2 linked regions of the Bombyx mori genome follow. The protein of the gene in region 2 interacts with the protein of the main gene of each other region in a biochemical or structural test. Links are inferred from orthologs where the notes say so. Each region holds a gene or a part of one and is shown on either strand. Other genes may lie near its edges.

What was found.
Region 1: the proteins of transmembrane trafficking protein precursor (region 2) and COPZ form a complex in vitro, tested with the Homo sapiens proteins (2 studies listed by BioGRID, with this or other methods). The link is inferred for Bombyx mori from reciprocal best matches to the Homo sapiens genes TMED10 and COPZ1.

The regions. Positions count from the first base shown.
Region 1 is NC_085108.1:4,788,431-4,792,822, forward strand, and holds the start of COPZ (nonclathrin coat protein zeta 1-COP), read left to right. Parts: upstream 1-1,507; 5' UTR 1,508-1,626; coding exon 1,627-1,659; intron 1,660-3,045; coding exon 3,046-3,191; intron 3,192-3,635; coding exon 3,636-3,735; intron 3,736-4,392. UniProt on the Homo sapiens protein: The coatomer is a cytosolic protein complex that binds to dilysine motifs and reversibly associates with Golgi non-clathrin-coated vesicles, which further mediate biosynthetic protein transport from the ER, via the Golgi up to the trans Golgi network.
Region 2 is NC_085131.1:11,843,901-11,848,519, forward strand, and holds the start of transmembrane trafficking protein precursor, read right to left. Parts: upstream 2,989-4,619; 5' UTR 2,862-2,988; coding exon 2,685-2,861; intron 2,446-2,684; coding exon 2,325-2,445; intron 344-2,324; coding exon 273-343; intron 1-272. UniProt on the Homo sapiens protein: Cargo receptor involved in protein vesicular trafficking and quality control in the endoplasmic reticulum (ER) and Golgi.

The sequences.
Region 1 (4,392 bases), on a different chromosome or scaffold from region 2:
TCGTCCACCCATTTACGCAATAAATAAATAAACCCTCCCTACCCTCCCTACCCACTTTACAATCGGTATCTTTACAACAGCAACCCATAGTAGTAGTACTAGTAGTAGATGAGTGGGCATATCGATAGTCGATAAACATACACAAGCCAGCGAATACTCTTTTTTTTTTCTTTTTTTCCTACCTATGCTGATAGCCTTGAGAGGCTATTTCAGCTTCGCCCTAACGTTTGTAGGTGAGCTCGCGGGGCTCAACCGGAGAGTTGCTAACACTGACCCTAGCAAGAGCAGTGCTTCGCAGAATCTACCATCGGATCGGAAACGCGACCCACTGAGAAGATCCGGCGAGAAACTCAGTGGGCTGTCTCTATGGGTTAGTTCGCTCGTCGAGCCCTTCGTCGCAGGCGACGGGTTCGACGAGGACGGTGACCGGTGCTTGTGGTGCCTAAAAGCATCGTTAATGGATCAGGAGGATCCGTAATGACGTGCTTTGGGCGACGTCGACGGTTTACCATTCGGTCTACTGGGTCGGGTATGTAGTTTCCAGCGGCTACGATGAGAGGGTTCTCATGTCGTGCCGCCTTCTCAAAATGGCGCAGCGATGCCGACTGTAGATACTTACTAAAAGAGTCGAGCTCCAGGTCATCGTGGAGATCCACGTTCCTCCGGAACCATGGCGCTCCGACGGCTATCCTGCAGAATCGGGATTGAATAACCTGAAGGGATTTCAAGTGGGTGCGGGCTACGTGAGCGAACACTACGCTTGCATACGTCATGACGGGCGAATGCTCTGCAACGTTACAAATGTAGGTACATCCACATTTACTTAATAATATTAAACAGTTTTTGGTAATATTGTGTGCTACAGTTTTGCCTTACACCAAAGATACACTGCGGTCGAATATATAATAGTCTCCACGAGACTCACTAGATGGCTCTTTTTGCTATTTCTGATAGTATGTAGATTTCTATGACAAAAAAATATCGGTAGAAACGCTGAATTTTCTTAAAGTACTAACATCTTTTGAATATACTTGCTTGTGTTCAGAATTTTAATTGAAATATATTTTTGTGCGTAAAGAAACAGATTCAGAAATTAAGGAGATGTTGTTCTCTGTACATAGCTTACTTAATTTCCCAGTATCATTATCAAATTCACACTTAAAAATTAATATTAACGCCCAAATTTTAAAAATAAAATATTTTTTCATATATATATTTTTTACTACAGTACATACATACGTTTCCTTAATTGTTTAAAAATAAATTGATACAAAGTTATTAGAAACGACTCATCCAAATCATTCAATCTCACATGCGCAAGAATGGAGGCATAATTTTACGATTCACTTATTAAATGCTTCTGTCTTTTATTTATTAATGTGTATGTAACAAGATTTCATATCATATTACTTTTTCCATAAAAAACCCAACTTGTCGACCCAACAATTCAAAAGATTTTGTAGCTTCCCTTTGCCTTTCCGAGTTGACAAAATGTGAATATTTCCAGATGTTCAGATGTCAAACTTAAACACGTCAACGCGGATGAGTTTGTCGCTGTTGGTTAATTAATGTGGAATTTTTAATTCTTTAAAATAATAATACAGTGAAAAATTATTAACCCACACAATGGTTCACACAACGATGGAAGGTTCTCTGTTCGTAAGTGATTTTCTAACTTCAAACAGATTTATTTTGCACTTTAAAAACATTTCAACCAAAACACAAGATAGAAGAATAGTGATACCTGTATCTTTTAGTAGTTAATACACAACGTGTTAGTACACCCATAAATGCAACCCACGGTTTCTCGCCGGATCTTCTCAGTGGGTCGCGTTCCCTATCCGGTGGTAGATTCTGTGTAGCACTGCTCTTACTAGGGCTAGTTGTTGGAGTTTGAATATAAATGTAATGGCAGGCAACACTTGACACATGATTACAGATTTCGAATATTAGAATTATTTTAAATGTTTAAAAAACAGATGATTGTATTCTCCTAAGAAAAAGTCGTACTTCTCATCTAGACACGGTCAGAACAACATGTAAGAGTTTTATAAAAAATATAAAGATAATAATTGTATAATGGTGTAAAAGTGTTCAAACTATATGCAATATAATTATAATGAAGCAGTGTGTTTTTAAATAGCCCCTCATCAACCTACAGAACCCAATCCCTCAAATTTAACCATCCAACACTAGTGTTAGCAAATTCTCTCAGGTTGAGCCAGTGTGCTCACTTACCCGTCTGGGCATAGCTTGAATAGCCCTCTAGGCTACTAGCGAATATTTAGGAGGCAGAATATAGTACAGGCAATGCTAGAGGAATGTATACTTGATAACTATCAAATCTGTAATCAGCAAACGTTAAAGCAAACAATGCATCAGAGTTAATTAACAATCACTTCACAATTAGCGGTAGGCAGCGGCTAGGCTCTGCCCCTGGCATTGCTGAAGTCCATGGGCGACGGTAACCACTCACCATCAGGTGGGCCGTATGCTCGTCTGCCTACAAAGTCAATAAAAAAAAAAAAAACACTAATAATCCTTACACCTTAAAATACTGTTATACTTTGTATTGGTCTGTTGATTGTAAAAACTAGAGCTAACCTGTCAACAGACCTGTCCCTTTTTAAAATAATAATCTCGTTATTATAAGGTGGTCTGAATATAAAAATGCTATTAATATTTAGACTTCTTCACTTTTAGGACCTTGAATAAATTATGCTCTAAATTTTAAGTCTGATAGAAACTTGATCCTTTAGGGATAATGATTAAGAGACTACAAAAAAACATATTTGGAAATGACCGGTGGAGCTCACGGACAACAGCAAGATTGCTGTGCCCTACCTCACGAGATGGGGTTGAAATCTTTATTTCTGAATTATATAACAGATCACTCACTCTCCAAATTGGAACCCATACTGCTTTCACAGCAAAGATAGCAAAAATACTTATTTCAAATTAGGTATTACTAAGGTATTAGGTATTTGTACACTTGTATGCTTGCCACACATCATTATGTAAATTTCAATGTTTTTCATGTTCTAGGAACCCACATTGTACATTGTCAAGGGGATGTGCATTTTGGACTATGAAGGAAACAGAATTTTGGCCAAATATTACGATAAAGACGTCCTACCCACAACTAAGGAGCAGAAGGCATTTGAGAAGAACTTGTTCAATAAGACTCACAGGTCAATATTAACTACATGACACTAAAACTAACATAATTTCTCAATTGGAATATAATTATAATTATATAAACGAATATTAATATTTTGGCTTGTCTGGAAAACTTCTTATAATGTAACTCTCACCAATGACAAGCCATAAACTAACTATCCATCTCAAGTTGTAGAATCAGTATATAATTTCTTTTTATATTAAAAGTTATAGGGTAATCTCATTAAGTTTGAGCCCCGTGAGCTCACTTACTCACCTGGATAATCTAGTATAACCCCTCAAGTTTACTAGAATAGGTAGGGAAAAAAACTTAGGGCAATCATGATAATTCATAGATAAAAATTATTTTAAGTTAACAATAATTAAACTGGAACAATGCTGTAAATATTTTAAGAAAATTATGGATATTTTAATAAATATTTTTTAAAACTAGTTTTTTTTATATATGTTTACAGAGCAAATGCAGAAATCATAATGCTGGATGGTCTTACTTGTGTTTATAAAAGTAACGTAGATTTATTCTTCTATGTTATGGGAAGCTCCCATGAAAATGAGGTATGATGTGTTCCATAATTTTCTTTTCTTTGTCAAGCTGTTACAATAACCACAATACTTTTAACTTTGTCTTAGGTTTTATTATTATTATTTCCCCAACCTATCCTAACGCCTTGAGAGGCTATTTCAGCTTCACCTTAACATGTAGATGAGCTCACGGGGCTCAAACTGGAAGTGTTGCTAACATTGGTCCTAGCAAGGGCAGTGCTTCGCAGAAGGCGACGTCGACAGATTTTATTATCGGTCTTTGATCATAGAATGAAAAAGCCATGAAAAAGCTTCGTAAAATCACAGTCAAGATTGTCACAGTCTCTGTTAATAAATAGATATAAAATGATTACTAAATAAGATAAAGTTTTTTTATTACTGAAAACAAATGACACAGTCATTCTGCTCTAATTTAGCATTCCCTGTGTTATGGGTACCAGAGATTCCCAACCCACTGAGTTTCTCGCCGGATCTTCTCAGCGGGCCGCCATTCCGATCCGGTAGTAGATTCAGTGAAGCACTGCTTTTGCCACAGCTAGTGTTAGCAATTCTCCCAGGTTGAGCCCGTGAGTTCACCTACCAGTCTACGCGAAGTTAGCCCCTTAGGCTACCAATGATTAGGTAGGAAAAAATAACAAAGAAAATCAAGAAAAACAAAACCAGAGACTG
Region 2 (4,619 bases):
ACACAGATGTTTCATTATTTGTGTTATTATGGTGTTTAATGAGTCATTTGTCTAGTCTCTATAAATTGTACTTTTTATTTTATTTTTATCTCTATTTTTTAGAAATAATATGTTGAATTTATTATAGTTAGTTCCATTTGCAAGCGTGACTTGTATCATTTTAGTTTGGAGACATAATTTCAATGATTTTCTTCTGTTTAATTATATATATAATGGAACACTATAATAATGGAAATATTTTGCTTTCATGATTAACTAATATTTTAACTTACCCCTTCATAAGTCTTTGCTTCTATGCCGATTTTAATATCTAAGCTTACTTGATGTGGAATACCTCTTCTTTCTGAAAAAATATATGAGAAATTTAAATAATCAGGCTTACTATTGACACTACCTACCATCAGAGAAGAGTTCATTTAAGTACCTGAAAACACTGCAATGCATAATGACGAAAGGTGAAGTAATTCATCATAAATATGAAGAATCAAATATTTTTAACAAAACTACTTGAATGGACGATTTTGAATCAAGAAAAACCCAGTATATAATAAAATGAATGCCACAACAACAACAAAATCATAACAGTTTCAAAGCTACAATCTGAGATTGTGATGGAGAAGAATAGGCTAGAGCAGATTTTTGATGATCAATAGATATCAACAAGCCCACAATATCAGACAAACTCTTACATTACATAAATAAATAGATAAAAAGTTTTTGATTAATTAAAGATGTTTCGTTTTAAAGCCAAAGCCTTCTCAGAAAGAGGCTGCTCAGAAATAGACAATAAAAAACAATATAACATTACTGGCTAGCTATATTATGTTTCTTCGGATAAAATAATATTGAAACATAGAAAAAATAACATTGTAAATCATATTTACCTAAAACTGAATTACAATGTTATTCTTTGCACTTGTCGAATTTTCAGTTGCATATCATAGCATAGCAAACCAATAAACTAATAGTATCACCTTTAAAAGGCAAGACAGCAAACATTTTATAATTTGAACGTAGGGTATAAGTATATTTATTTATTTTGTATTTTAATTAAAATTAACATTGGCGGACTTAATGCTTAAGGCATTCTCTAACAGTCAACCAAAGGTAGTGCAGAGTAAATAGTGGTAGGTGCAATGAAATTTATATTAGGTTACGAATACATACAAAAAAAGTATATCTACATATATACAAAATCACATATACATATACATACATACATATAATAGTTTATACAGTATTAAAAGTATAGTCCCCAGCTAAGTAAAAAAAAACCTTTTCTATACTATATCAGTTAAGTGAATTATATAAGGGCTCAGTGGTGGGGATTGGGAGAGGCCTATGTACAGCAGTGGACGACTGGGGGCCGTTGTTGATTATGATGATGAATTATATCTGGAACAGCCGGCTAGCACTTTGCTACCCACAATAAGACATCAGGTGTTGCAAGAATGAGATCTAAATGGCCAATAGATTTTCTGTTTTAATTTTTTTTGTATCAATTACAGCTATTTGATCTCATCAACTTCACTGCTGATAGAGAATAGCTGACCTGAGAATGCATTTAGAAGGGAAATAATAGCAGTTGCAATGCAATGCCTTTATAAGGGAAATAATAGCAGCAACAAGGCTAGATTTGGATACCAATAACATATTTCGATTATGACTTCTGTTAGTGAAATCAGAAGGCTTGATTGCTTTGAGGGACAAGAGATAGGAGAGGCCTACACAGATTTACACAACATTGTTGCACCTATAAATTATGGGGTTGGTTCTTGTTTATTTGTGTACATAACTTCGATCAACACAAATATTATTAAAAGAAAACCCTTCAAGCCCTGGTGAAAAGGGTATTTAAATTAATGGTTAATTATGCTGTATATGTTTTTTTACTAGTGGTAGGATGTATTATCAGTCCACATAAGGGCCCACCATCCTGGTTAGTACTGCATTGAAATAGTCATATGATTTGGTGATAGATGACAGCATTGGCATTGCTGGGACTTTGAAGTAACCAGCCGATCATAACTAACTGGTCCTATAGTACTAACTAGAGTAATCTTTTCCTGCTCAACATTATAATCTGTCTATTAAAAATATCTACGGGGTAGATCATCAGAAAGGCTATTTGAGCAAATGCCTTTGCAGACTAGTGTTTTACTTAGACTCGTAATACTTAAAACATCAGAAGGTATATTAAGTAGCAGTAAACTGTGACCTACTTTTCTATGCTGATCTCTATGTACTTTCTAAACTAATCTAAAGAACCTTTATTAAAATTAAAATATTAAAGAATTATTCAGTTAGTTCCGAAATAAAATTACCTGATGGTACTTTAGATATAAAGCAAACTTCAAACATATCATAATTCTCTGTGACGAATGAGAACTTTCCCTTTGTTACTGTATCTTTCTGTGATAAGATGTGCCCCTTCGAGTCTTTAATCTGTAATAATTGAAATCATTATTGTTTCTGTCTTTTTTTTGAGTTACACTGTTCGTTTATTCCTGTTTACAAAAAAAAATGTCTATTTTCAAAAAAGTAGTACCTACATTTTTTCATTTTCAAATATTTCTCTGTAAATTTTTTGTTTGTATCCTAAACGATAAATATCTAGTGGTGTACATAAGCCATGGCGTTTGAATATTACAAACATTTTTGGTTATGTCAGAAATTATACTCACAATATAGTCAACTCTTTGCCCCTGTATTTCTGTCACATCATATTCTCCTGCAACTAACACGTTGGCGTGTAATTCTTCTTTCAAACACTTGTGTGTGTTCGGCGCCAAGCTCCACATAATCGCATCAGTTCCATGCCAGATTAAGCTCAGTAACAACACGAGATATTGTACCTCCATGTTTATTGTGGTTATATATTATCTATCTTGCAATAAATAAAGCCGAATTCATAACATTTATGACCGGAAAACAAACATAATCTCTAATTTTACGTCAAATAGACCGATGAGTTGGCTAACGTCGTCGACCTTTTGGTTATTTTTTTTTTGAAAAATGTAATTGTGTTGCCAGGTTTCATTTCGGCGACTTCTAGCAAATTCTGCGTGGAATGGATTCTTTACATTCCTTTGAACTTGATTTAGCAGTTTTATACCCATACTGCTAGGTAGGTACTTACATTATAAATGCTTTAATATTATTAGAACAATAGGTTTAATAAGTACTCACAGTTTAATTTCTATTTTTTTGATCGTATCAGAAAAACAGTGATCAGTATCAGTCGATATTAATTTTTTGTCTTGTGATACATACATACATATTTGATTTAAATTAATTTGAACCCAATGTTTTGCGAAACACTTTCAGGTGGGAAATAGAATCTAAATTTATTCAGCCAAGCTATTTCTCGAAATCCATTTTTTAAAAGCTTGTTCCATTTCCATTTATTGGTGCACGTTATTTTCCAACTTTCTATCATAGCTGAATACAAATGGCAAACAAGAACATAAATACATTTTCTCTTCATGGATGAAAGAGACAGCGTTAGCTGATATTCTAAATTTAATTCAGTTCACAATAAAGCGATTACTGCGTTTCGTCGAATTCGAAAGTGCATTTTGCATTTTCAAGGAAATTAAAGAAATAACCTTAAATTAGTTTTTTTGAAACCATTATTGCTTAGAATCGCAACTTAATAGAACTTATTACAATATCTACTACTTAATTAATTTTCAAGGGACTTTGAATAGCTGTGTTGTGAAATAAAAGTGCGAAGATTATAAATTGCATCTGACTGATTGACAGATGCATAATTTATTTCTGTAATTCGAAAATTGTTTTGTGCAGATCTTGATTAAATGATTTGCCGAAAGTACGGTACGTCGATGCTTTAGTGACCGTAAATCACATTAAAATATAGGTAATTTCGGTGAGTACTCATTTCTATCTGTGCAAAAGTAAGTTTACATAATCTTGCAAAGTTTTAAAAATTACATCTTAACTAATTGATCCATAACGATTTATTTTAAACATAAAGGAACTTTTATGATATTAATAAATAAAAGTAAAATAATGGATCCAAGCTGTTAATTAAAATAAAATACTCCATAGATTTCCTTACAAGATTTTTATTGTAAAGGATCTGTAAGATGACAACAACAAATCCATAATAATACAACTGCTCATTACTAATTGTATAAAAAACTTATTTTACAATAGTTATATTAAAATCGGAAACTATTATTTTGAAAATAGGGTGATTCTTGCCATTATCCCACATCTTGCGATGTCAGTGCAGCATGTTCTTTTATCATTCTATTTCAAGCTATACTTTTCCTAATGATGTTATTACATGGTGTACATAATACTGAATGAACTTTGCAAAACGTAGTCCTTAATTCATTATGACGAGTTTAAAAAAAATAATTATTATATCTTACTTATATTTTTCTATAGGTTTTCAACCAATTAATATTATGAATGTGAAAGTTTATAAGTTTGGATATTGTTTATGCGATCACTCAAAAATTACTCAAATAAATTTCACATATTTAAATAGTTTATAACAATTTTTTTATCATAATAACAACATAACCTGAACAATGCTGTTTATATTCAATTGTAATTAATAAGATATGAAAATTCATAGTTTGTGATTT